Macaca mulatta: one gene and its partners. The protein of the gene in region 4 interacts with the protein of the main gene of each other region in a pairwise test. Links are inferred from orthologs where the notes say so. Each region holds a gene or a part of one and is shown on either strand. Other genes may lie near its edges.

Region 1 (4,279 bases), on a different chromosome or scaffold from region 4:
AGTGAAACTCCATCACACACACACACACACACACACAAAAAAAAATTATTATTGTCTACTTTTGAAATTAAGGGAAAAACATCGAGCTTTTCTCTTCCAGACCATGCCAATTAAAAGGAAATTCCAGGAGTCAGGAGAAAGGGAACAAAAAGAGAATGTGGTAGAGGCGAGGGTAGACCAAGTAAAGAAGATGGAGAAGAAACTATAGAAATAAGAGAAGAAGAGATCATGCCAAATACAGGAAAGAGGCATGAGACAAGAAGGATGGAAAGGGGCAGAGAGAAAAGGGAAGAGTCTGGGTTCTGAGCTGATTGTGCTATTTGTGTACAGTGTGTGTTCCTTTGGGCTGTTAACATTCTTTCAAGATAGAAGCTCCAAGATGTTTCCTTACCTAATCTCCTAAGTGGCATACCATCATCACTTCTGCCGGGTTCTATTGGTCAAGCAAACCAACCTTTACAAAGTGGCGGGGAGCTATGCAAGGGTATGAATAACAGGAAGACGGGATCCCTGGGAATGACTTGGAATGTAAGTGGCATGGTGGGCAGAACCATAGCCTAGGGTGAGATAGCAGGAACCTGGAATTATAGTACCTTAATGTGATATGAACTGATCTGAGCAAATGTGTTTGAACACTCACCACATGCCAAGAGCTGTTCTAATCCCTTTGCATGCGGTATCTCATTTAACCCTCTTAACAACTTACGGAGGCAGACACTCTATCCAGAGAAGAAATTGAGGTACAGAGGTTAGTAGCACAGTGACAGAGCTATTATAAGGAAGGACTTGTCAGGACCTGGAGAGAGACTGGGTATGAGAAAGGTAAGTGGCTGTCACAGTGTCCTATGGGATTTTTCCAGATAAACCACCCTGTATAGTTAACCGATCCATCCATGCAGGGCTAGGATTCATTTCGACCTCGCCATAGTAGCTTTCCAGGGGCCAATCCCACTCCAGCCTAAAGCACCCCATAGGCTATCATTTAAACTGCAGTAGGAACTAAGCCTTAGACCAGAAATTTCTCCCTGATGGGATCCCTGGAATGGTTCCTAAATAGCTGGGTCTTGTTTCCTGACAATGCCGCCTGCCCCGAGGCTTGATGTGACTGCATAGCTTCTGCCGTTTGTAAAGGCGGGGAATGACGTTTTATGTTTGAACCCAGCAGGTCAGGCTCCTGAAGAGGTCAGGTAGTCTGTGGAGAGGACTACTGGTGTTTGCTATTTATTACATCTCTCCCAACACATAAAATCTGGGGTTCACCAAAGCAGGCGGTTTTCTTCCACATACTCCTCTAGGATGGAAAATGCCCTCCAGTGGAAATGCCTTTCCACTCTGCTTCTGCTGAATTTTCCTCCAAGATTTCCTCTAACTGTGGACTGCCAGCTCCTCCCTGATGTCTTCAGGCCCCAACCCAACCTGTTCTTGTTGCAATCCACAAGACTCCTTTCAGCATCTTAACTTTTTCCCCAGTTTTCTTTCATTTTCTCCTGGTCTGTGTTGACTGCGGTCTCCTTCTCAGCCTTTTCCGTCCTTCATCTTGTCCTACAAAGCCACACCTGTACCGACAAGTGCCAAAGAGTTTGATCATTTACTTAATGTCAACAAAAGAAAGAAAAAAAAAGCTCTAGAGTCGCCTTGGCCTGCGGCACCCAAGCCGAGTGAACAAGTGGGGCCCGCGCACCCTCCTACCCTCCACCTCGCATGGAACCCCGAGCTCTGAAACATGGAAAGGCCCAGACCTGCTGATTTAATCTAAGTCCTGCAGTCCCCAAGAGATCATAGACTGCAGATCCCAGTCCCACGAACTAAGAGAGGAGAGGAGCAAGGCTACCCCGGACTACCGCAGCTCGGGGACAGCGCGCAGACCAGGCGGCCCGAGATGCGCAGGCCACGCAGCCTGGCCGACGACTGTCCCTGGAGAGCCTCCAGGCGCCCGGGTGGGGCCGCGATCGCGCCCCGCTAGTCACCCGGCATGTGGGCGCGGCGGGGCGGCGCGGGCGGGCCGGCTGCAGGAGCTGTTTGGCGTCCCGGTCAGAGTATTTGCTCAGCCCGCCTGCGCCGCTTGGGACGCTTCTGCCTTTCCCTCCCTCCCTTCCCCGACGGCTTCTGGCGGCCAAGTGGATGTGGCGGGTGATCGGGCCACCCTGCCCAGGGGCGCCCAGCACTGGTAGGTGCTGGGGTTGGGGAGAGGCTTTGGCGAGAGTGTGCATGGGGTGGGAGTAGGGGGAAGGGAATTTCCTCGGGGGTTGCAGGGGTGCATGGGAGGCGCAGGGGCCAGAGGGGGCGGGCGGAAGCCTCACCCCCGCCTCCACCCCTTCGCGCCGCCCGGGGCGGGCTCAGGTGCGGGGTTAGGCGGCTAGAGCGGCTGCGGCGGGTATCCGGTGTCCGGTGTCCGGTGTCCGGTGACTGGAGCCGCTGGCTAGGTGAGCGGCTGTCCCCGGGGTCTGGGGGCTTGCAAGGGGTGGCGGGGGGAACTTCGAGGGAGAGGGTCTGCCGGAGCTGAGGACTTTCGGGGAAGTTCTGGGATCCGGCGGGGACACGCGGCGCGTGCTTCTACCCGCAGGGAGTGCAGGCCCCGGGAGGGTCCGGGCTGGACTGGAGTTTCTAGACTCCTAGCAGGAGCACGTCCTGGACCTGCGCCTGGAGATCTTCCAAGAGGGAAGTCCCGGGAAACAGTGGCAGCCGGCGCAGCACCCCGGCAGCGCGTTCCCCGCGCGCCGGCACCCAGGGGCGCCCCCAAGTGGGGTCAGGGCGCGCGCGGAGGCCCGTGCAGCGCCGCCTCCCAGGGGCTGCTGCGGCGGGGCTGGCCCAGACCCAGACCGGGTGCCCACTGGGCTCAACCAAGCGGCGCCCCTGCCCGCTCCTGGACTCGGGGGTTACGCGGGCACCGGAAGGAGCTACAGTTTGTAGGTTTTCTGAGTTGTCTTTCCCTTCCCAGGGAGCTTAGAGAAACAGCAAGCGTGGCACCTCCCCCTTCCGAACAGATGCTCCTCATCGCCCAAAAGGCTTTTATTTGATTGCTGGTTTAATGGAAACAACGACTTGGGTACCATTATTTTAAAATAGTGAATAAATAAGTGGAAAGCATACAGGGGCATAGATTTGGCATAGGAGTGGAATTTTCTATGTATACTAAATCTGTGTGTACAGTAACTTCAAATTTCTGAAGAATAGTATATATTTACAAAACTTGCCAAATTGCTGTCATCTCTGGTAATTTGTTTCATCTCCAAAAACAGCTCTTTTGCTGGTAGATGAATAAGATAAAGTTTGAATAAGAAAACAAAGCTCGACCACAGAGCTGGCTGTTTTAAAAGAATTAGAATTCAAGCTGTATTGTTAATGTTATAGTTACACTGTCCATACCACAATACTTTTATTTATTTTTTATTTTATTGGGTAAGTGCAAAAGTAGTTGTGTTTTTTATGGCAAAAACCACATTTATTTATTTATTTAGGCCATAAAAAAACACAATAACTTTTGCACCGACCTAATGTTTTTCATTTTTGAGGCAGGGTCTCCTTCTATCACCCAGGCTGTAGTGCAGTGGTGCGATCTTGGCCCACTGCAGCCTCAAACTCTCCAGCTCAAGTGATCCTCCCACCTCAGCCTCCCAGGTAGGTCGGACTCTAGGTGTGGGCCACCACACCTGGCTAATTTTTATATTTGTGTAGAGATGGAGTTTTGGCATGTTACCCAAGCTGGTCTCGAACTCCTGAGCTCAAGCAATCCACCCACATTCACCTCCCAAAGTGTTGGGATTACATTTTGAACCACTGTGCCTGGCCTACTATTTTTATGATTTAGGCTGTATCTTAGGCCTTTAAAATTTTTTATTTTGTTTAGGTATCAGAGTTATCCAAAAGACAGTTGTATGGTAGAACAGTGTGAAGGTGTGAGAATCAGGTCAAATCTATGGTATCATGGAAAACAACAGATTCTCTGATCCTTTAGCAATTGCTGTTCAGAATAAATTGCAGGTGTGGGCTTGCTTCTTATCATTTCTCTCTTTTAAGAAAGGTGCTGTGTTAGCTGAGCTATTCCTTTGTTGGATCTTGAATAACTGGAGGTTTGCTGCCCTTGATATAGTATGGGAAAGTCCTCAGCATTTGAATCCGTATCAGCAATGATTATTTGTTCTCGTCAGGGAATGAAAGTGGGAAAACCCTGGTTAGTTAATTTCCTCATTTCTATTTCTTCTACCGTGGCTCCACCAGTCTCCTTCACTTCACAGTAGATTATGTCACATACCGACTCATTAGGAGTCACAGACTGAAC
Region 2 (4,188 bases), on a different chromosome or scaffold from region 4:
ATTTTGAACCAGCAAATTTGTTATCGTCACGGGATGTCCTGTTCATTGTAGGAAGTTGAGGAGCATCCCTGGGCTCTACCTACTCCATGCCAATAGCATCCTTCCAGTTGTGACAACCCAAAATGTCTTCAGACACTGCTAAATAGAGGGGAAATCCGTCCTTCCCCTTCTTTTGAGATCTGCTCCACTGTAAAATTCTCTCGACTTTGCTTTACACTTGAATTTTTTCATAATAAATGTTGGAGGAAAAAATAAATTATTACATTGAAAAATGCTCATGAAACACCATGCAGAAGATGTAGTTTATGAACACCTACAATACATACTGTCGTCTTTTTGTTTAAAAAAAAAGCGGCAGGGGTGGGGGGGGAGAGCTAGCAGTGATATTTAGTATTGCTAAATGTCAGTGTTTACAAATCGTATCCATGACACTTCTAAAATAAATATTATAAGGTGTATTCCATATAGTTGGATTGGGAAGAAAAACATTTCCAATTACCCTCCTGTCAGCATCTCCTTCAAACTACCCTTTTATTAAGAGGGAAAAATATGCATTCACACGGTTCCTCCCAGCTTGGTTAATGGGCGAGAACACCTAAGATAGCTAAGGCCACCATGCATCCAGGCTCAGATCTCCCTAATTGCCCTCCTCCTCCATGGTTCAGGGACAAGGAGGATCACGACTGTGTGGGAAGATACTAGAAATGCAAAATTTGGACCCCCGCCCCTACCTACCGAATCTTGATCTGCATTTCAACAGGATTCCCGAACTATTCCTAGGCACGTTCGAGTTTGAGGAGCATTAACGGACCGATTATTTGTCCCTGAAAAGAGCCCACTATATAGACTGACAGTGGCAGCCGCTGGGAAATGACAACGGGGTTGGCATGGAGAGTTATTAAGAAGAAAAACTCCAGCCGGGAGCGGTGGCTCAGGCCTGTAATCCCAGCACTTTGGGAGGCCAGGGGTGGCGGATCGCCTGAGGTCAGGAGTTCGAGACCAGCCTGGCCAACATGGTGAAACCCCCGTCTCTACTAAAAAATACAAAAATTATCTGGGCATGGTGGTGGGCGCCTGTAATCCTTGCTACTCGGGAGGCCGAGGCAGGAGAATCGCTTGAACCCGAACCCGGGAGGCGAAGGCTGCTGTGAGCCGAGATCGCGCCACTGCACTCCAGCTTGGGGGACAGAGCGAGACTCCGTCTCAAAAAAAAAAGAAAAAAAAAAAGAAGAAGAAGAAGAAAACTCTGCGACTGAGAAGTACCTAGCAGGGACAAAGCATTCCCTTAGTCGTTCCAGCTGCGTACACAAACACTGGCGGACCCGGCGCCCGACCGGCCAGCTCTAGCTTCCGGCCGCGGCCCTGCGCGCGCATGCGCCGTGCGCCTTGTTTTTTCTGATAGGCCGCTAGGTGAGGCGGTTTGTGAGTTTTGGGTCGCAGTATACTAGAATTTTGAGGTTTCCTTCCGGTGAAAATTGAGCTGTCCGTGCAGCCATGGAACCCGGGTTACAGCAGTGAGGGGGCCGCGACTCAAGGTTAGTCTCGCCTCAGCGCCAGTGGCGAGCGTCACGGGGGTTTCCCACGCTGCAGCGCCGGGCGCAACACTTTGGGAACGTTCCCGGCATGGCTGCCCGCCTCCCCTCACTGCAGGCGCCCATCGGTCGGTTTGGACCTCGGCGTTGCTTCCCGGCTTCAGCAGCCCCGCTCCAGCCGGCGACCTCGCCCCGAGGGCAATCAGGGTGCGAGGGTGGCTGCGTGCTGGGCATTCTTCCTGAGAGCTTCGTGGCTTGGGTCGCGGGGTACCGTGCTCCGTTTTTCAAAAAAAAAAAATCTGCAAGGAAAAGATATTATTCCACTCAGAAATAGCAAGTTTCAGTCTACGTTCTCTTAAATATATATATATATTTTAAATAATAGTAAAGGCGAGGTCTCCCTGTGTTAGCCAGGCTGGTCTTGAACAATTGGGCTTAAGCAATCCCCCTTTCTCCCAAAGTGCTGGGATTACAAGCGTGAGCCACCGCGCCCGGCTACAGTCTATTTCCTTACAGCATTCGCTGAAATCTTGAGTCATAAAATTATCTTGAGGGTTTTTTGGAAGGACTGAAATCTCTTAAGCGAAAATAGTTTGGCAGATAAATGACCTGTGACATCACTCCCGTAGTTATCCAATCAAGAGTCCCTCCGTCCCGTACTTCTTCGCTATTCCATTTCATCTTTGCTACCTACAATTCGATAGGACCCTCTCCCGACTTTGCTCACTCCCTGGGAGACTTTAAACAAATATATAGCTCCAAATAAGTGTTGACTCCCAAAATTATATCTGTAGCTCAGTCTCTCGTAGACTCCAAAACTGTATATCTAACTGCATGCTAGGCATCTCTATTTAACTAACAGTGTCTTAGTAGGCGCTTCATTACTTCAGCTCTCCATGAAGCTCTCCTGAAGCTCTCCATGACCACACCGTCCAAATAAATGGCACATCCATACTTTCAGTAGCTTAACGCCTTGGAGTCATTCTTCCGTGTCTCATGTAATTCATCTGTAAATCCTGTTGCCTCTTTTCTCTCCATGTATCCAGAACCTGAAGTTTACCAACTTGACCACTATAATCCTATCCAAGCCACCATCCTCTCTCCCTAGTTATTGCGGTGTCTATCTGGTTACCCCACTTTTCCTTTCACTTTTCTCCGTAGCAGCAAGTGTGGGGATCTTCGTAAGTCAAACCTCTCTTGTAGCTCTTACGTATCAGTCGGGATAAAATTCAAAATTCTGGCCATGCTTTACTAGTCCCAACATAAACTGCCCCACCTTTCCTTACTAAACTCTTTCATTCCCCCTGTCCCCAGCTCACTGTGCGCTGGCCAGCTGCTCTAGCACCCTCCTACCTCAAGGCATTTGAACATGCTGTTCACTTTCCCTCGAACACTCTTGGCCAAGAAAAACACATGGCCTCCTTTTCAGTTCCTTAAAGTCTCTTCCCTACAGTCACCTTAGGAGAAAGGCCTTTCCTGACGACCCCTTGTGCAGTCTCACCCCCCTGCTGCCTTATTGTTTCCCTTGTCCTTGTTTTCTTCAGGTTTCTTCACAGCAGTTATTTACTGGATATAAAAATTCTTTTTTGTTTTTTTTGAAACAGTCTCACATGTTGCCCAGGCTGGAGTGCAGTAGTATGATCTTAGCTCACTGCAACCTCTGCCTCCCCAGTTCAAGTGATTCTCCTGCCTCAGCCTCCCTAGTAGCTGGGACTACAGGCGTGTGCGACCACACCTGGCTAATTTTTGTATTTTTAGTAGAGATGGGGTTTCATCATGTTGGCCAGGCTGGTCTCAAACTCCTGACCTCAGGTAATCCGCCCATCTCATCCTCCCAAAGTGCTGTGATTACAGGCGTGAGCCACCGCACCTGGGCTGGGCATATAAATTTGTTTTTGATGTCATGGTATCCTCCCACCAGTAGAGTTGTTTTATTACTTTCATTCATTGTTATCTTAGTGCCAATGCTTGAACGTAAGTGCTTTAGAAACATTTGTTGAAATGATGACCAGGCCGGGCTTGGTGGCTCACGCCTGTAATCCCAGCACTTTGGGAGGCCGAGACGGGTGGATCACAAGATAAAGGAGATCGAGACCATCCTGGCTAACACAGTGAAACCCCATCTCTACCAAAACTACAAAAAATTAGCCGGGCATGGTAGCGGGCACCTGTAGTTCTAGCTACTTGGGAGGCTGAGCCAGGAGAATGGCGTGAACCCAGGAGGCAGAGCTTGCAGTGAGCCGAGATCGTGCCACTGCACTCCGGCCTGGGTGACAGAGCAAGACTACGTCTCAAAAACAAACAAAAAAAGAAATGATGACCAATAATAATAATAGTAATAAGCGGCCCGACACCGTGGCTCATGCCTGTAATCCCAGCACTTTGGGAGGCCAAGGCGGGTGGATCACAAGGGCAAGAGTTCAAGACCAGCCTGGCCAATGTGGTAAAACCCCATCTCTACTAAAAAACCCAGAAAGCAGAGGTTGTAGTGAACCAACTCTGCACTCTGGCCTGGGTGACAGAGCTAGACCTTGTCTCAAAAAAAAAAAAAGGTTTTTAAATTAATAATAATAGCAGCAAGCACACATAAAATTTACTTTGTTGCCAGGCACTTTCCACAAATTCTCATCTAATCATCACAGCAACCCTCTCATCC
Region 3 (4,152 bases), on a different chromosome or scaffold from region 4:
GAGCGCGGCCTACCTAACCAGGTGTGTTCCAAGGGTAGGCTCTGCTCTTATGACATCCAATCCACAGTCTGGCCAGTCACCTAAGGGGGCCTTGGGGTAAAGAGATGAGTTGATCCAATCCGATTCTTATGGGAATATGGCTCAAACTCAGAGAGGAGCAGGTAGTTAGTAAAAACAAAACAAAACAAAAAACAAACCTAAAAAAAATGCAGAGAGAATCCATAAGAAAATGATGGGTCACAACCAGCAACACTGTGAAAGCAGAGGTTCTGAATTACAAAAAACATACAAAGAGTAACAATAAAAGACTCATAGGCAAATAGGGAAGTGGGGAGGCGTGGGAAAAAGTGAATGTGTTATATTAACGATGTAAGAGTTTAGGCCCTCAGTATTCTGCTGTCAAGGTCCAGGAAGCGGGATCTCTGTCTGGTGAGCCAGGATAAACTGTTTCAGCTCTAAAGCTTGAGACGCTTTTTCCTTTACCGCTACACGTTTCCACCGTACCCTAAATAGAATGGATTTGATTCTTGCAACCAAAAGAACTCATTACGACACCCAGGAAATTTTAGGGAGGTGCTAGAGTGTGCCTTCAGTTTTGTCGCTGTGTGCAACTCACTGGCCACTTCCACTCTCAACTCTTCCAGCTCAAGGGAAGTTTTACATATGCAACACATTGGCCTTAACTTCACCAATGGCTGATTTCCATCCTTTTTTTCTCTTCTGCAGAAACATAACACTAATTATGCTCCTAGAACAACTACCAAGATAGTCGTTAGGGGGAAAGCGTCACAGGACACGAACGTCTTCCCTGATAGAAACAAGGGCTCCTCCCCGAGGTCTCAGAGGCCACACCTGTAGGTAGGAGCACGCTTTTCGATGGCGGAGCCCGGTCCTTGCCTCGCGGACGCCGGCGCAGGACAGTGGCTCCCAGTTCCCGGGGACATTCCACGGCAACCCACATCCCCGGTCCCCGGCCCCTGGCCCCCGGTCCCCGGTGCCCGCTGGGTCACCTGTAATTGTAGGAGCTGAAACGCTTGCTCTCTCTCAGCATCGCCCGGTACAGATCTAACACTTGTGCGCGACTGGAGGCTGCCATTTTGGAAAGAAAAAAAATTAACGGGTCCTCTTCGCCGAGGTCCCAAGTACGACCCAACCTCGGAACTCCAGCCTGTGCAGAAACCACGCACGAAATAAAATGCAGCGGCTCGACCTTGCCAGCGGGCCGGTCCTAAGCCTAAGCCGGCAGCCCTGCGGACCGCAGACCGCGCCGGGCGTCCCGCGCCGCTTCGGGGGCGGGCGAAGGCAGGGCTCGGGGCAGCTAAAGGGGCGGTGCAAGGAGGGAGATGCCTCCGCCCCGCCCCGCTCCCGCTTCCGCCCCCGCCGGGAGGCTCGGGATCCAGCAGCATCTCCACGCGGCCGGAGGGCGAGAAAATAAGAGGCCCGGCCGCCCGTGCATCCAGCCAAGCTCCTGGGGGACGGATATTGGGGGTCCGGGCATTCGAGGGACGTGCAGTCGCATCACGGAGAGCCTTTGCGAACCGTCTGGGGTTTTGGCGGAGACATTTGTGTTTCGGGGCGCAGCGCCCCTTTGTGCCTTTAGAAGGCCGCGTTGCCCGGGTTACCGAAGGCCGCCGCGTCGACGCCCCGCCCCTGACAGCCCCGCCCACGCTGGCGGCGGCCGCCCTCGCCGCTGCCTGAGAGACCTTGCGGGATTTCAAGGGTGACTTAACTTCGCCCGATCATGGTCGGCAGGGTGGGATTTATTGGCATTCCTTGGGCCGGGGGATGCGACGTCTGGGTGTGGAGGTGATGAGACAGGGGTTCCGTGGCACTCCGGCTCTGCTCAGGGCGACCTGCGTAGGGGCCTCCGGGGCAAGGCCCGCTTTCCGTCAAAATGGCAGCGCCCAGCGTGCACGGGTATCTCTGAAGTTGGGGTTTAAGATTCTTGCCCGTGAGAGCCAACGAGCCTGCCGTGCTTCTGATTTTGAAATACCTGGGTCTGGGTTTCCCGGGCGAGCGGTGGGTGAGTGCCGACCTCGTTGCAGCCTGGGGTAGGACGTGGGCGGTTCGTGTGGTTAGGGGGTTACATTGGCCATGGATTTTTTCCTCTTTCCGGATGTGTTTTTGCTTTTGAGTGAAGAGTCCCCGTGGTTTTGTAGTCTAATAAATGCGTAAAATGCAGCTTGGGCTCTAGACTTTGGAGAATAATTTGAGCCCGTTAGGGCTTTAGGCGTTCTCCAAGAAGCGGAGCAAGTTTTCAACCATGGCTTTCTTCAGAAGACTTCAACTTTTTTGAATCATTTTATTAAAGTGGTGGATAAAGTTGCTTTTTCTGATCTTTGAGCATGGGACTGGACGCTGGAAGCTTCAGCCAGTTCTAGTTACTGTGTTTGCAAAGCACTTTTCTTGTTTTTGGAATCTTGCTTTATGTAATCAACCTTAGGAAGAACCCCACCTTTCCGCACTCGAGCACAGCGAGGAGTACCTTATGCATAAAAACAAAACAACTTTGCATTAAAATCCATCTTTCTCCCAACCGCTTGGTCACGGTTGTGTTCTCATCTGCTTTAGTGTATTTGGTTTTAAAACGATAAACTTGCTGTATATCTAAGCAACTTTATATTTTCAGGAACTTTTTTTTCCCTTTTATTTATTTATTTATTTTTTTGAGATGGAGTCACTCTCCGTCGCCCAGGCTGGAGTGCAGTGGCAGGATCTCGGACTCACTGCAACCTCCGCGTCCCGGGTTCAAGCTATTCTCCTGCCTCAGCCTCCCGAATAGCTGGGATTACAGGCGCGCGCTACCTTGCTGAGCTAATTTTTGTATTTTTAGTAGATACGGGGTTTCACCATATTGGTCAGGCTGGTCTCGAACTCCTGACCTTGTGATTCGCCTGCCTCAACCTCCCAAAGTGCTGGGATTACAGGTGTGAGCCACCACGCCTAGCCTCTATTTTCAGGAACTTTAAAGGCAGGAAACACTTCTCTGACCTTACCATTCTTTAGTGTACTTGCAACCTGGTGTCCTTGCATCCAGATATTCTTATTAATCCTGATGCAGGGAGAAAATACTTTCATTAAGATACCTTTAAGTCTCCTCCCTGACTTCTTGACAATCTCATGTCTGTGATTTTGTTTTTGTTTTTTTGTTTTTTTTTTCAACAGGATAGCAAAACTTCTGTTACTTCCTGGTTGGTCAGGTCGTTGAGCAAATCTACCCTCGGGTTTATTGAAAAGACTTTTTTGAGGTTTCCCTTTGGTATTTCTTAAAGGATCCAAGACCAAGGCAATTGCACATTGTTACAGAGTAAGATTCAGAGCTGATTTCTCTTGATACACTGTTGTGTGCTGGTGATATGAAATGATATGCGGCACCTTAAAGCTGCAACATTAATGCAAGTTGCTGATAGAGAATGCTATCAGAGTGAAAAGGAAAAACTTGAAGATTATTTTGGCTTGTTTAAAAATAGCAAGGATTATGTTATTTATATTTTGCTTTTGAGAGTAAAGTTGGAATAACTATATACAATTGTTTCTACCTAATTATCAAGGAATTTAATCATTAATGTATATGGTATATCTAAATGACTCAACTTTGTTGTAATCAAATAAAACTTTTCCAAATAAATATGTATAGTTTAAATAGTTTGGGTAGCTTAGTCCTCCATTAGTACGAGCAATGGTTGCAGTTAGGAAAGTGATAGCTTCCCGGTTAATTCTGAGCCAAATCTTCACAAAAATACCTCATTATTTTATTTAAAATGGTTTACCAATGTGTTGGACATCATTGCCTGGAGAAACTAAAGGAAAATAATCATTCTGAAGCTACATCTCACTTTTGCACATCTTCACTGCAGAGATTACATAAAACAAAACAAAACAAAAAAAACTCTATTTGAGATTGTAAGTAGAATTGGGCCAGAAGCTGAAGAATGGACCTTACACATATGTCCTTTAATATGCATTCTATTCTGGGTTGAAATTTTTCTTAGCGAATATCTGTAAAGTAGGAGGTACCATTTAGGCATCAAAACATAAAAATTTCTTTAGTATTCGTTTATCGAAAGTTACCGACTACCTGTAGTTCTTTATGTAAGATCATTTATTACCTTCTATTAAAATTAGGGTTGTCAATGACCACTTAATGCTTTG
Region 4 (2,585 bases):
GCCCACCACAGTGTCACTCCTGGGGTCTCAATATCTTTAGGTGGTTTGGCTTCTTCTTCTACCTTTCAGAGTCTTCTTATGTTTATTCGATATGTAATTTCCAGGGTTTTTAGGAGGAGGAATATGGAAATAGAATCATTCTGGAAGTTCTCTACCTTGTCTCTTAAATGTATGAGAATAATTATTCTTATAACCTAAATGTCCAATAACAGATCAATGCACCTTATGGTACATTATGCAACCATTAAAATGATGGCTACAGGCTGGGTGCGGTGGCTCATGCCTGTAATCCCAGCACTTTGGGAGGCTGAGGTGGGCGGATCACAAGGACCTTGATCACAAGGTCAGGAGATCGAGACCATCCTGGCTAACATGGTGAAACCCTGTCTCTACTAAAAAAAAAAAAAAAAAAAAATACGAAAAATTAGCCTGGCGTGGTGGCATGCACCTGCAGTCCCAGCTACTCGGGAGGCTGAGGCAGGAGAACCGCTTGAACCTGGGAGGTGGAGGTTGCAGTGAGCCGAGATAGCGCGACTGCACTCCAGCCTGGGCGACACAGGGAGACTTTGCCTCAAATTAAAAAACAAAACAAACAAACAAACAAAAAATGGCTACAATACAATCTTATGTTTTGATTAGAATTAAAAATGCTTAGATGACATAAATGAAAGAAAGATTACACAAGTGTGTGCATATGTTAGTATGATTATAGTTGTGTGGAAAAATCTATCATAAGAAAGAAAACCAGAAGAAAGTACCCCAAAATATTGACTATGGCTGTTTGCAAGATGAAATCATAAGTGACCTTTTCCCTTTTAATCAGCCAAATTACAGAAAAGAGAATCTAGTACTTTTATAATAAAAAAATACAATTTATTATTCTATTCCTAATTTTTTTCTCAGAAAGATACACACAACTGTTTTCTAAGATATATGACATTTTGCATGGGTTCATTAATGTGTTTGTATTTGAGGAGTTAAAAAATATTTTCAACCTGGGTTTTTGTATGTTGAAACTATGGTTATGGGTTTAGATGATTCTCTTGCCATAAAATGAATATTCTATCAACACTAATCAGCCATAGAGCTATATTTACCATGTGAAAGGAGTAAAACATGTTTTATTTGGAGATGAGCAAGAACACTTTATGGGCTCCCAGCATACCACAAATAAGCCGGAAGGAGAGGAAATAGTAAAGCAGAAAGACTGAGGATACCTGGAGGGCAGTTCCAGGATATGAGCGTCCCCTGGATTTGTGATTCCTGTTTGGATGCCCCTGTTGAAGCCCCATCTCCTTTCTAGGATGCTGCCGGCTTTGATTCCTCTACCTGCTGTCCTTAACATTCACAAACAGCAGTTTTCAACCGTGCAGATGACATAGGCTGAGCATGGCTCACAAGTGTTGCTCGAGGTGCATGTGGTCGAACATGGGTTACAGGAAAGCCTGGGGAAAAATTGATGTTAAACCAAGCTTAGCAAGGGAATCTTGATAAAATGGAAACTCAGACAAACCATGTCAAAGTTTGTCCACAAATTATGTTCTGAAAAAAACTCTGCACAATAGCATTGACTGAAGCCTGTTTCTTCTCCGCACCCAGAATTGCCACTTCATGTTCACTGTAGCAGTGGCAGTTGAATAGAATTTTATATTTTTTCTTGATTTTGCAAATGTTATCTCAGGCCTATTCCTGATTTTCCTTTAGTGGAAAACAGGAACAAAGGGAGATGCCAGTATGAAATGTTACACTAATAATTAATCTGCCTTTATAATATTTTAAAAATATCTCTAGTGTCATGTGCTTAACCTCAGCCACTGTTCAGCCCTCTTTTAAGAAGATCCCTGAGCACATTGGGGAGGTTTGAACTTGTCCAGACCTTGGGGAAACAGGATTCTTTTACATCAGCCTCTTTGTGACTCTGGGGGATATCATGAGTAACTGTGGAACTTGCCTGCTGTCCTCACTGTCCAGCAGGCCCCGATACGTGTTGATCTCGCCCTCCAGCCGGGCCTTCACGTCCAGGAGCACCTGGTACTCCTGGTTCTGTCGCTCCAGGTCGCAGCGGATCTCGGCCAGCTGGTTCTCCACGTTATCGATCAGGCACTGAATCTGGGCCAGCTGGGAGCTGTACTGGGCCTCGGTTTCTGCCACGGTGCATTCCAGAGATTCTGTCTGCAGGAGGAAACATTGTCCAAAGGACCATGAAGTGCAGTCTCTCGGGCCAGAGTGCCTATTTTCAAATCCTTGCTTACCCTTTTCTAGCTATGTGACCACTGGCAAATTATTTAGCTTCTGTGAGTCTCAGTTTTATTCTCTATATGCAAAGTATTTGTCTCATTAGAGGGTTGTGAAGATTAAGAGTTAATATGTGTAAAGCATTTAGAACAGTGCCAGCCGTACTGCCACTGTTCTACATGTCAGCTATCACTACCACCACTATGACTACAGCAATACATGACTTATTTGTGAAGCTTAAGGACTATCAACAGCATATGAGAGGAAAGATTGAGTTTGGGCTCTTGGCAGGGAGGGGTAGTATAGTGCTGTTAGGAGAAGAGGCTCTGGATACCAGAGGCTGGGAAGGG
Region 5 (3,314 bases), on a different chromosome or scaffold from region 4:
ATCCACCTGCCTTGGCCTCCCAAAGTACTGGGATTACAGGCATGAGCCACTGCACCTGGCCAGTCAACCATTTTTAATTGTTGTATTGCAAATGCTTTGCCCTGTTGCCCTGTCATTTACCTATAAACTTCTTCCCTGCTTTTATCTGCTGCCAGTACTTAGGGAAAAACTTGGTGTGCAGGATTCCCTCTGAGAGATCTGACTTCTTCTTCCATTTCATCTCCCCCAACCCCACCTTCCACTGCCCTGAAAGAAAACCAAGATCAGGGGATATTCAAACATTTTTATTTATTAATGAAAGACAAGGAAAAGGAAAATGATGAAGTAAGCATCCCTCCCCCTAATGTAACCCTGTGGCATCGATGGTGGATACCAAGCTCACATGCTGGTGCCAGCCCATTCCTGGGGGCCGTCTTTCTTCCTGCTACTTGTAGGAACCCACAAATATACCTTATAGTGCCCTAAAAAAATGCCTACATAAATCCACTTTTACAAAAAAGTTATATAATAAATGCCACAGCACATTTGACTTTTTAAAGTTATTTTTTTCTACTCTATGGGCAAATGCACCCCACAAGGGACTCTGTGCTCAGGAAACAGTTGCAGTCTCGGTACACCCCATCTAATGTACGTGTGGATTATATTGGCAGTCTTTATATTCTTACGTATTTTCTTCCAGCTTGATCCTCTCCCAGAAAAGGTTTTACAGCAAAGACCCAATGCAAACGCTGTCCGCTCCATGGAGAAAGTCATGGAAATCCACAGTAAGTTGCCTGGCCGGGTGCTCACAGGGGACACGCTCCTGGTGGCGGGACCCCACTGCCCCACATCCCTGTCCCCCTATACCCCCAGCTCTTCTCTATCCCACTGCCAGCTGCTTCCCCAGGCCTGCAGCAGGAGGCCTTGCTTTCAGCTGCATTTCTTGAGCTAGTAGAGACTCACATTTAACTCCCACTGGATTTTCGCCGGCCTACTGGGATGGTTCCATCAGCCCATTTTGTAGGTCTAGAGAATCAAGGCCCAGACAGTCTCAGTGTGAAGTCACTTGCTCTAGGTCCCCAGCTAGCAGTGGGAGCCATGGCTATGAACCTGTACCCTGGGGACTCCGGCCTCTTCCCTGGACCAGAGAAGCCCACGTCCTTAGATCAAACCTTTGGCCCTGCAAAGAGGCAGGATGTAGGCCCTCCGCGTTCTGGCACCGACCCTCAAGGAGTGGGTCCTGGGTGCAAGGGCGTGGCATGCAGCCTGTCTCAGAGGCACCTCCCACACCCTGTCATTGTTGCAAGCCCAGCTTGTCTTGCCTTTGAGATGACCCAGATGATTGACTGTCTACACAAGCAGGTGTAGTCCAGAGCTTGACTCTCCATTTCCCTGTGTGGGGGAGTCCTGGCCTTAGAGCCCTGAAGCTGACCCTGGGCCAGGCCCAGCCTTCCACATACACCCGCTTGTACCTGATGCAGGACCCCTCCACCCCCAGCCTCTGTGAGGGCCCAGGCAGAAGATCCCTCAGCCCCAGCAACAATCCACCAGCTCATCTTCTCCCAGAGATAGGAAGGCTCAACCCAGCAGGCTGGCAGCCCCCACTCCTGAGCTCCCAGGGCAGAAAGGAGCGTGGAAAGCCAGGCCCACAGGAGCCTCTGTCTGCAGTCCTAGCTGCTCCTGGAGGGACTCGAGCCACTCACGATGGGGAAACATTTCCAGAGATTCTCGGTCTTCGCGAGCTTGTAGCCATGCAGTCCTCTGCTTCGCGTCTCTTCAAAGACGGGTGCTTTTAAAATCATAAGGGATCAATCTCGTTTGAGGCTCAGGGTCCCGCAGGACCCTCCCGGGCCGCCGTGCATCCTGCTAAGGTGTAGTCACTGAGCGACCTTCCTCACCCCACCCCAGGCAAGTACTGGCGCTGCCTGCAGCGTGCAACCTCCACGGCAGGGCGTTCTCTGATCGAGGCTCAGACCTGCGAGAACGAAGAAGCCGAGACGGTCACCGCCATGGCCTCGCTGTCCGTGGGCGTGAAGCCCGCCGAAAAGAGGTGAGCACCTGCCCTGCCGGCCACCTGCCCTGCTGCCCACCTGCAGGCTCACCCAGCCCCACTGTGTCCAGGGACACTCTGTTCAGGGTCAGAACATTTATGGCATGTGCCATGCCAAACAGACTAGAGACAGGCCAGCGGGGCCCCCTCCTTCTAGTGCCAAAGCCCCTTAGAGACGCATGAGGAGCGTTAGATACTGAACAGATGGACCCGGTGCCCCCGGGCCTGGGTAGGCTGGCGGGTGGGGCAGCGCACAGCCTTTAACCCACATTCTGTTCTCTCCTCTCTGTGGTCCACCTGCCCCATGCCCTGTCTCTTTCTCTTGCGGGATCCACAGAGCAGACGAGGAGCCCATGGAAGAGGAGCCACCCCTGTAGCACTCCCTCGCAGCTGCTGTTCTCTTGTCTGTCTGTCTCTGTCTTGAAGCTCAGCCAAGAAACTTCCCCGTGTCACGCCTGCGTCCCACCGTGGGGCTCTCTTGGAGCGTCCAGGGACACCCGGCGCACAACAGCCACGGGAAGCCTTTCTGCCACCCAGGCCCACAGGTCTCAAGACGCACATGCACACCTGGGTGTGGCAGCCTCACAGGGAACACGGGACAGACGCCGGCGACGCGCAGACACACGGACACGCGCAAGCCAAGCACACTCTGGTGGGTCCCGCGAGGGGCGCCGTGGAGGAAAGAAGCCTGTGGCAACAGGCGGCCGAGCTGCCGAATTCAGTTGACACGAGGCACAGAAAACGAATATCAAAGATCTAATAATACAAAACAAACTTGATTAAAACTGGTGCTTAAAGTTTGATTATTACCCACAACTCCACAGTCTGTGTGTAAACCACTCGACTCATCTTGTAGCTTATTTTTTTTTAAAGAGGACGTTTTCTACGGCTGTGGCCTGCCTCTGTGAACCATAGCGGTGTGCGGTGGGGGGTCTGCACCCGGGTGGGGGATGGAGTGACCTTTAAAGAAAACAAAACTGGACAGAAACAGGAATGTGAGCCTGGGGGAGCTGGCTTGAGTTTCTCAAAGCCATCGGAAGATGCGAGTTTGTGCCTTTTTTTTATTGCTCTGGTGGATTTTTGTGGCTGGGTTTTCTGAAGTCTGAGGAACAATGCCTTAAGAAAAAACAAACAGCAGGAATTGGTGGGACAGTTTCCTGTGGCCAGCCGAGTCTGGCAGTGCTGGCACCGCGAGCTGGCCTGACGCCCCAAGCACGGGTACCAGCCGTCATCTCCGGGGCCAGGGGCTGCAGCCCGGCGGTCCCTGTTTTGCTTTATCGCTGTT
Region 6 (3,500 bases), on a different chromosome or scaffold from region 4:
GATTGTGCCCCTGCCTCGCCTCAAATAACCCTCACTGATGAAGTCCTGACGAACACGGACTCACATCACAGATAAGCAGGAGTGCAGAAACATCACACAGCGGTCACACACACACCCAGGCCCTGGCCGGTGGAGCAGTCCGGCACCAAATAGAAACCATGTGTGTTTATTAATTTAAAGAAATAGGCCGGGCGCAGCGGCTCATGCCTATAATCCCAGCACTTTGGGAGCCCAAGGCCAGGGGAATCACTTGAGCTCAGGAGTTCCAGAGCAGCCTGGGCATCATAGTGAGACCTCAACTCTACAAAAGTAAAAAAAATTAGCCAGGCGTGGTGGTACGCACTTACTGTTGTCCCAGCTACTCGGGAGGCTGAGGTGGGAGGATTGCTTGAGTCAAGAGGTGGCAGCTGCAGTGAGTCAAGATCGCACCACTGTACTCCAGCTTGGGTGACAGAACAAGACCCTGTCTCCAAAAAAAAAAAAAAAAAAGATCCAGGCAGAGTAGGAGCTGAGGCTGAGCCTGGCAGCTGGCCTCTGGATAGTCGTGTCAGTTCGAGAGGATGAAGGCCCTGCTGCAGCATGGCTCGTGGTCACACATGGAACAGGTGTCATGCTGGACTTTAAAGGTAGCTCTTGAAAGAAAAAACGCAGAGTAGCTTTCAGAATAGGTGAGAGGGAGCCCGGCACGGTGGCTCACGCCTGTAATCCCAGCACTTTGGGAGGCCGAGGCAGGTGGATCACCTGAGCTCAGGAGTTTGAGACCAGCCTGACCAACATGGTGAAACCGTGTTTCTACTGAAAATACAAAACATTAACCGAGTGTGGTGGCGGGTGCCTGTAATCCCAGCTACTTGGAAGGCTGAGGCAGGAGAATTGCTTGAACCCAGGACGCGGAGGTTGCAGTGAGCCGAGATCGCGCCATCGCACTCTAGCCTGGGCAACAAGAGCGAAACTCCGCCTCAAAAAAAGAAAAAAAAGGCAAATAAGTCATGGTTTTTGGGCTGCAGTCGTATCCACCCTGCCTTGGTAAGGGCTTGTGGAGCCTGGCCCCGCCCCTGTAGCTGCTCAGAGGCCCCGCCCCTGCTGACCCTCAGCATGTCTCCTCCGGGCAGGGTCATGGGGCAGGTGCATCCCCCGGTGACCCTCGAGGCCCCGCTGTAGGCTCCTCCCGGGCATGGCCGGGAGCTGTGGGGGCTCCTGTGCCCTCCCTCCGGCACCTGTGTCACCCTGCAGGAGCTCTGGGCAAGACCCTCCCGGCAGCCCGGGCGTGCTAACGCCTCTCTGTCTCCTGTGGTGTTTTCCAGGATTTCTTCTTCTATTCTCTAGTCTACGACCCACAGCAGAAGACCCTGCTGGCAGATAAAGGAGAGATTCGAGTAGGAAACCGGTACCAGGCAGACATCACCGACTTGTTAAAAGAAGGTAGGGTGGGCCGCCCTGGGCGTGGCGTGCTGCGTCCCGTCCTGCGCTGCCGGCTGACACACTGGGCAAGAGGAGGCTGGGACACGGCCGCCGTGTCAGTAACTCCTGTGTGACTGGGGGCAGCAGGTGCAGGCCTGGGCTCTGTCCACACGGGTGGTGTGTGTGGGCTGGTGTCCCAGAGCCTTCCCCCACCCACTGCTGGTGGTGGTGTGGTTCTGGGGAAGCCCCAGACCCTCAGGCAGGACGTGGTGGTCAGTTGTCCCTGCACAGTGAGACCTGGTTTCCTTGTGGCAGTAGTTTTTCTTTTTCTTTTTTTCAGATGGAGTCTCGCTCTGTTGCCCAGGCTGGAGTGCAGTGGGGTGATCTCAGCTCACTGCAACTTCCACCTCCTAGGTTCAAGCGATTCTCCTGCCTCAGCCGCCTGAGTAGCTGGGATTACAGGCACCTGCCATCACACCCGGCTAATTTTTTTATTTTTAGTAGAGACAGGGGCTCACCGTGTTGGCCGGGATGGTCTTGAACTCTTGACCTCAGGCCTCCCAAGGTGCTGGGATTACAGACATGAGCCACCGAGTCTGACCTTGGCAGTTGTTTTTCACTACTTTTTTTTTTTTTTGGACAAGGTCTAGCTCTGTTGCCCAGGCTGGAGTGCAGTGGTGCGATCATAGCTCACTGCAGCCTCAACCTCCCAGACTCAGATGATCCCCCCACCTCCGCCTCCCGGGTAGCTGGAACTACAGGCACGCACCACCACACCCCGCTAATTTTTTTGTATTTTTAGTAGAGGCAGGGTTTCGCCATGTTGCCCAGGTTGGTCTCAAACTCGTGACCTCAAGTGATCTACCTGCCTTGGCCTCCCAAAATGCTGGGATTACATGTGTGAGCCACTGCGTCTGGCCTTGTTACTTTTTTTTTTTTTTTTTGAGATGGAATCTCGCTCTGTCGCCCAGGCTGGAGTGCAGTGGCCGGATCTCAGCTCACTGCAAGCTCCGCCTTCTGGGTTTACACCATTCTCCTGCCTCAGCCTCCCGAGTAGCTGGGACTACAGGCGCCCGCCACCTTGCCCGGCTAGTGTTTTGTATTTTTTTTTTTTTTAGTAGAGACGGGGTTTCACCGTGTTAGCCAGGATGGTCTGGATCTCCTGACCTCGTGATCCGCCCGTCTCGGCCTCCCAAAGTGCTGGGATTACAGGCTTGAGCCACCGCGCCCCTCTCATTAGTTTTTTAAAGTTCTTTTTGTCTCCAGAAATTTTCTTCTGTGTAAATCTGCCTGCGTTTCTTGTGTTGCCTGTGGGTGCCCCACCCTTGAGGTCTGATGGGGCCATGGAGCTCTGACGCAGCATGCACTCCAGACGCAGGCGGCCTCCTCCCTCCGCCGGGTGCTTCAGCAGCCCTGGTGGGAAGTCCTGAGGCTCACTGTCACCTTCTCAACCCTGTCCCTCATCTCCCCGCTGGGCAAGGCTGTGAGGCTGCCCTCAAGACGCAGGGCTCTGCCCTGAGGGTCGGCAGGGACTCGCATCCCTGCTTCTTGTAGTTGTGATCGAGGTGTTTGGTGATTTTCCTCTTTTGGTTTGCTTTGAGAGTGGGTCTTGCTGTGTTGCCCAGGCTGGACCTGAAGTCCTGGGCTCCAGCGATCCTCGAGCCTCAGCCTTCCGAGTAGTTGGGGCTGTTTCGTGTTCTTGGTTGTCCATAAGATGCACCGGTGCCACCTTCCCCAGGCACCTGCGGGCTCTAGCACTGGGCTAGCAATGTAGTGGGCCTGCTGCTTTGCAAGCTCTGGGAGGTGCTGGGCAGTCGGGGACAGACCCCCCCTCTCTCCAGGCACACAGGGCACGTTGAGGCCTGGGTCAGCGTGGGGAGGCCGCTGTGCTGAGGCCTGTGGGTCTGAGTGTGGAGAGGCCTCTGTACTGGGGCCTGTGGGTCTGAGTGTGGGGAGGCCTCTGTGCTGGGGCCTGTGGGTCTGAGTATGGGGAGGCCGCTGTACTGGGGCCTATGGGTCTGAGTGTGGGGAGACCTTTGTGCTGGGGCCTGTGGGTCTGAGTGTGGGGAGGCCGCTGTACTGGGGCCTATGGGTCTGAG
Region 7 (3,500 bases), about 46 Mb from region 4:
TGGCCAGGGCCTCACTGGGGACGGTAAAGAGCTTGGCTTGGGGAGTTTTCAGCTTCCTCTGGTCCAGGTTTATCTCAAAGCCACCTTGAAAGATCAAATGAAAAACTCTCAGGGATTTGTTAAGTGGAATCAAGTGACCATTCCTATATTTAGCCACTTGAATTGGTGCAGACAAAGCCAACTCTGAGTCCCTTACAGAAATATATCTGACAAAAGCAGGAAGGATAATCTCACCACGGAACCAGCTGAAGATGAAAAATGTTCCCGACCATTCACAAAAAAAAAAAAAAAAAAAAAGAGGCAGTCAAAATTTCAGACACTCACCTTCACCCTGTGTGATGCTGACATTCTGATAAAACCTCTTCCTTTCTGTAAGAAAGATTTTTCAAAGAGGCAGTTTAAAATAACGTTGAGACAACTCAGGAAGCGACAGGACCAGCTTGTATCATTACTGCTAATGTTGATTGATTGGCTTGATTTTCATATCCCCATTCAAGGTCTGCCCTACTCAACATGGTATAATCAACTGCTTCTGATTAAAGCTGGGGGTAGGGAGCATCCGATCTCCAGGGAGGAGGGAGGAACAGGACATGCTGGTCATGCCTCTGCCAACCCCCCAGCCTGGGGACAAGTCTGATCAGGAGCATCTCGGCATGCTTTCCCACCCTCCCCACCACCAGTGCCACCCCATGCCAGCACAAACCTAAAGTCGGTGTCTGAGTGGGACAAAGCTAGAGACTCATTTCAGCCAAGACCCTGATGCCTCTAAGGAGTGAGTGGAAAGCCAGTGTGCCTGCGCAGGGTGTGCGTGTGAGGTACATAGGCAGGATGCAGAGCTCCCAAGGGCATTTCCCATCCCCTCTCTCCAATTAATTAACCTAATTAACCAGCTTGCTTATGTATCCAACAGGAACTCCAAACATTTCCTTCAAGAAAGGGAAAATCTGTGTCCTGTGTTTTCTTTTGAAATTAACTTGAATAAAATCTTACATGAAACAGTCTCCTTCTTTTAGCCTGGAGGGATTAACAATCAAGAGTACTTCTAAGGAATTATGCAGATTCCCTCAACTGATAACAAAGAAGTCACATTTTGGAAGCTATAAGCTATAACTTAGTCTCTCACATCTGTGACAAACACAAAACTTTCATTCATTCATTCGTTTGTTCACTCGTTCATGTGTTCACTGAGTTCTCAAAGTCTTCGGAGGCCCTAACTGAAGTTATTTATTGGAAATAATGATGCAGCATGTGGAGGAAAAAAGAGTAAATCATTTGCTTTATTTATTTATTTAATTATTTGAGATGGCTTCTCACTCTCTTGCCCAGGCTGGAGTGTAGTGGTACAATGTCAGCTCACTGAAACCTCCGCTTCCTGGGTTCAAGCGATTCTCCTGCCTCAGTTCCCTGAGTAGCTGGGATTATAGGCGTGCACCAACACTCCAGGCTAATTTTTGAATTTTTAGTAGAGGCAGGGTTTTGCCATGCCAGCCAGACTGGCCTCGAACTCCTGACCTCAAGTGATCCCACCCGTAAGCCACCATGCCCAGCCAAATAATTTGCTTTTAATGCTAAAAAAAAAAAAAAAAAAAAAAAAAAAAAGGCTGGTCACAGTGGCTCATGCCTATAATCCTAGCACTTTGGGAGGCCAAGGTGGGAAGACTGCTTGAGGCTAGGAGTTCAAAACCCAAGCTGGACAACATGATGAGACCCCATCTCTACAAAAAATACAAAAATAAGGCTGGGTGCAGTGGCTCACGCTGTAATCCCAGCACTTTGGGAGGCAGAGGCAGGTGGATCACCTGAGGTCAGGAGTTCGAGACCAGCCTGGCCAACATGGTGAAACCCTGTCTCTACTAAAAATACAAAAATTAGCAAGTATGGTGGCGCATGCCTGTAGTCCCAGCTACTCGGGAGGCTGAGGCAGGAGAATCGCTTGAACCCAGGAGGCAGAGGCTACAGTGAGCTGAGATTGTGCTGCTGCACCCCAGCCTGGGTGACAGAGCAAGACTCCATCTCAAAAAATAATAATAAAAAAATACAAAAATAAAAAATTAGCCGGGCATGGCAGCAAATGCCTGTAGTCCCAGCTACTAGGGGGGTTGAAGCAGGAGGACTGCTTGAGCCCAGGAGGCTGAGGCTGCAGTGAGCTGTGATGTCACCACTGCACTCCAATCTGGGCAACAGAACAAGACCGTCTCTTGAAACAAGCAAACAAAACAACAACAACAACAACAATAATAAACAAGCTTAAGTTAAAATTTCATTAATTCAAACAGACCATGAAAATTCAGGAGAAATTAGTATGTGTGCATGGAGAGGGAAGGGTAATGGAGAAGCAGGCAACTGGTTTTACTCCAAATATTTTTATGTTTTCCCATCATATCAGTTTTCTATAAATCTCATTTGCTATCACTAATACTTAAAGACAGAGGGCCCAAAATTGCATTCCACATTTGCACTTACTAAACTAAGGCCCCAATTTTTTTCCCACAAAAATATTTGTGTGTCTACCATGTGCCTTGGCACTTGGGATACAAGAGTCAATAAAATAGACAGGGAGTTTAAAGTTTTTTTTAGGATCAGATCTGTCCACCAAGATGATGCTGTCTTTCTATGGCACGATTTAGCACTTTCATCTGAAATCACAACACCGATTATCTCGTATGTTTTACACTAAAATTGGAAGTTTACAGCACCCTAGTGCTTTTAAATTTCTTTACATACTGTCCTGGTCAAATCCAAATGGCAGGCTAGACATGGGTCTGGAGGCCTCCTTTCCTCTCTCAGGTCTGGAGTGAGGTAGACCATGCCCTCCATGTTTTCAATGCAACAGGCTGGGCAGCATGTATAAAACCGGGCCAGGCAGGAAGTTGGGAAGGGCTCTGAAAGCTCTGACTCAACACTAGGGAAAGGGTCTTCCCACGTCAGCAGGAAGTGCCAGCAAGAGTGTACAAGTATACAAGAGTGAGCACTCTAGCATACTTCCAGGCCTGGTCTGGGAAGTGAACCCAAGAGACCTGGGCCAGAAGAACAGACTCAGGGCAGGAACTGCCAGCACAGGGCTGAACCTTCACAAGCTCCTGGGACAGCCAGGTTTCCCAAGAGGGAAGTCTTTTTTCTGTTTTCTTGGCCAGGCTCACTTCTGTAACTGAATAAGAAAAAACTAGACGGGAGTGGGATAGACGGAAGGCAGGGAAGGAGCCACCAAAATTGCTTAAAGCAGAAGAAAATCATGCAGAAAATGAGACAGCAGAAGGGCAAAAGGAGCCCAGGGGCTGCCAGTCCTCAGATTAGAAGGCAGGTACACATAGATGTGTTTTAGCCAGGGGCTCTCCTGAATGACCCACTGACACGTGGAGGGGCAAACGTGTCTTGGAACAAGCTTTGGTGAGTAGTGATCATGTTCCAGGACATATGGTAAGTCCTGGGAATGGGACATGTGCAAAGCTCATCTCTGCACCCTCCAGCCACTTACTGTGTAGTAGGAATACAGACCACTA

Evidence for each region.
Region 1: the proteins of KRT40 (region 4) and SH2D4A interact in binary tests that used the Homo sapiens proteins (3 or more experiments, as listed by UniProt). The two-hybrid records come from large-scale screens. The link is inferred for Macaca mulatta from reciprocal best matches to the Homo sapiens genes KRT40 and SH2D4A.
Region 2: the proteins of KRT40 (region 4) and RWDD2B interact in binary tests that used the Homo sapiens proteins (3 or more experiments, as listed by UniProt). The two-hybrid records come from large-scale screens. The link is inferred for Macaca mulatta from reciprocal best matches to the Homo sapiens genes KRT40 and RWDD2B.
Region 3: the proteins of KRT40 (region 4) and FARS2 interact in binary tests that used the Homo sapiens proteins (3 or more experiments, as listed by UniProt). The two-hybrid records come from large-scale screens. The link is inferred for Macaca mulatta from reciprocal best matches to the Homo sapiens genes KRT40 and FARS2.
Region 5: the proteins of KRT40 (region 4) and HDAC4 interact in binary tests that used the Homo sapiens proteins (3 or more experiments, as listed by UniProt). The two-hybrid records come from large-scale screens. The link is inferred for Macaca mulatta from reciprocal best matches to the Homo sapiens genes KRT40 and HDAC4.
Region 6: the proteins of KRT40 (region 4) and MTA1 interact in binary tests that used the Homo sapiens proteins (3 or more experiments, as listed by UniProt). The two-hybrid records come from large-scale screens. The link is inferred for Macaca mulatta from reciprocal best matches to the Homo sapiens genes KRT40 and MTA1.
Region 7: the proteins of KRT40 (region 4) and ATPAF2 interact in binary tests that used the Homo sapiens proteins (3 or more experiments, as listed by UniProt). The two-hybrid records come from large-scale screens. The link is inferred for Macaca mulatta from reciprocal best matches to the Homo sapiens genes KRT40 and ATPAF2.

The regions. Positions count from the first base shown.
Region 1 is NC_133413.1:20,954,097-20,958,375, forward strand, and holds the start of SH2D4A (SH2 domain-containing protein 4A), read left to right. Parts: upstream 1-1,479; 5' UTR 1,480-2,121; coding exon of another isoform or gene 2,122-2,167; intron 2,168-2,242; exon of another isoform or gene 2,243-2,423; intron 2,424-3,516; exon of another isoform or gene 3,517-3,618; intron 3,619-4,279. UniProt on the Homo sapiens protein: Inhibits estrogen-induced cell proliferation by competing with PLCG for binding to ESR1, blocking the effect of estrogen on PLCG and repressing estrogen-induced proliferation. May play a role in T-cell development and function.
Region 2 is NC_133408.1:18,479,810-18,483,997, forward strand, and holds the start of RWDD2B (RWD domain-containing protein 2B), read left to right. Parts: upstream 1-1,388; 5' UTR 1,389-1,535; intron 1,536-4,188.
Region 3 is NC_133409.1:177,928,686-177,932,837, reverse strand, and holds the start of FARS2 (phenylalanine--tRNA ligase, mitochondrial), read left to right. Parts: upstream 1-1,352; 5' UTR 1,353-1,720; exon of another isoform or gene 1,721-1,753; intron 1,754-1,886; exon of another isoform or gene 1,887-2,023; intron 2,024-3,165; exon of another isoform or gene 3,166-3,307; intron 3,308-4,152. Other genes in the region: LYRM4 (LYR motif-containing protein 4), read right to left, coding at 1,011-1,096. UniProt on the Homo sapiens protein: Is responsible for the charging of tRNA(Phe) with phenylalanine in mitochondrial translation.
Region 4 is NC_133421.1:65,360,202-65,362,786, forward strand, and holds the end of KRT40 (keratin, type I cytoskeletal 40), read right to left. Parts: intron 2,173-2,585; coding exon 1,952-2,172; intron 1,446-1,951; coding exon 1,346-1,445; 3' UTR 501-1,345; downstream 1-500. UniProt on the Homo sapiens protein: May play a role in late hair differentiation.
Region 5 is NC_133417.1:144,295,744-144,299,057, reverse strand, and holds the end of HDAC4 (histone deacetylase 4), read left to right. Parts: intron 1-679; coding exon 680-764; intron 765-1,887; coding exon 1,888-2,029; intron 2,030-2,366; coding exon 2,367-2,406; 3' UTR 2,407-2,814; downstream 2,815-3,314. UniProt on the Homo sapiens protein: Responsible for the deacetylation of lysine residues on the N-terminal part of the core histones (H2A, H2B, H3 and H4).
Region 6 is NC_133412.1:178,885,956-178,889,455, forward strand, and holds part of MTA1 (metastasis-associated protein MTA1), read left to right. Parts: intron 1-222; exon of another isoform or gene 223-675; intron 676-1,304; coding exon 1,305-1,422; intron 1,423-3,500. UniProt on the Homo sapiens protein: Transcriptional coregulator which can act as both a transcriptional corepressor and coactivator. Acts as a component of the histone deacetylase NuRD complex which participates in the remodeling of chromatin.
Region 7 is NC_133421.1:19,597,943-19,601,442, forward strand, and holds part of ATPAF2 (ATP synthase mitochondrial F1 complex assembly factor 2), read right to left. Parts: intron 370-3,500; coding exon 325-369; intron 85-324; coding exon 1-84. UniProt on the Homo sapiens protein: Plays a role in the assembly of the F1 component of the mitochondrial ATP synthase (ATPase).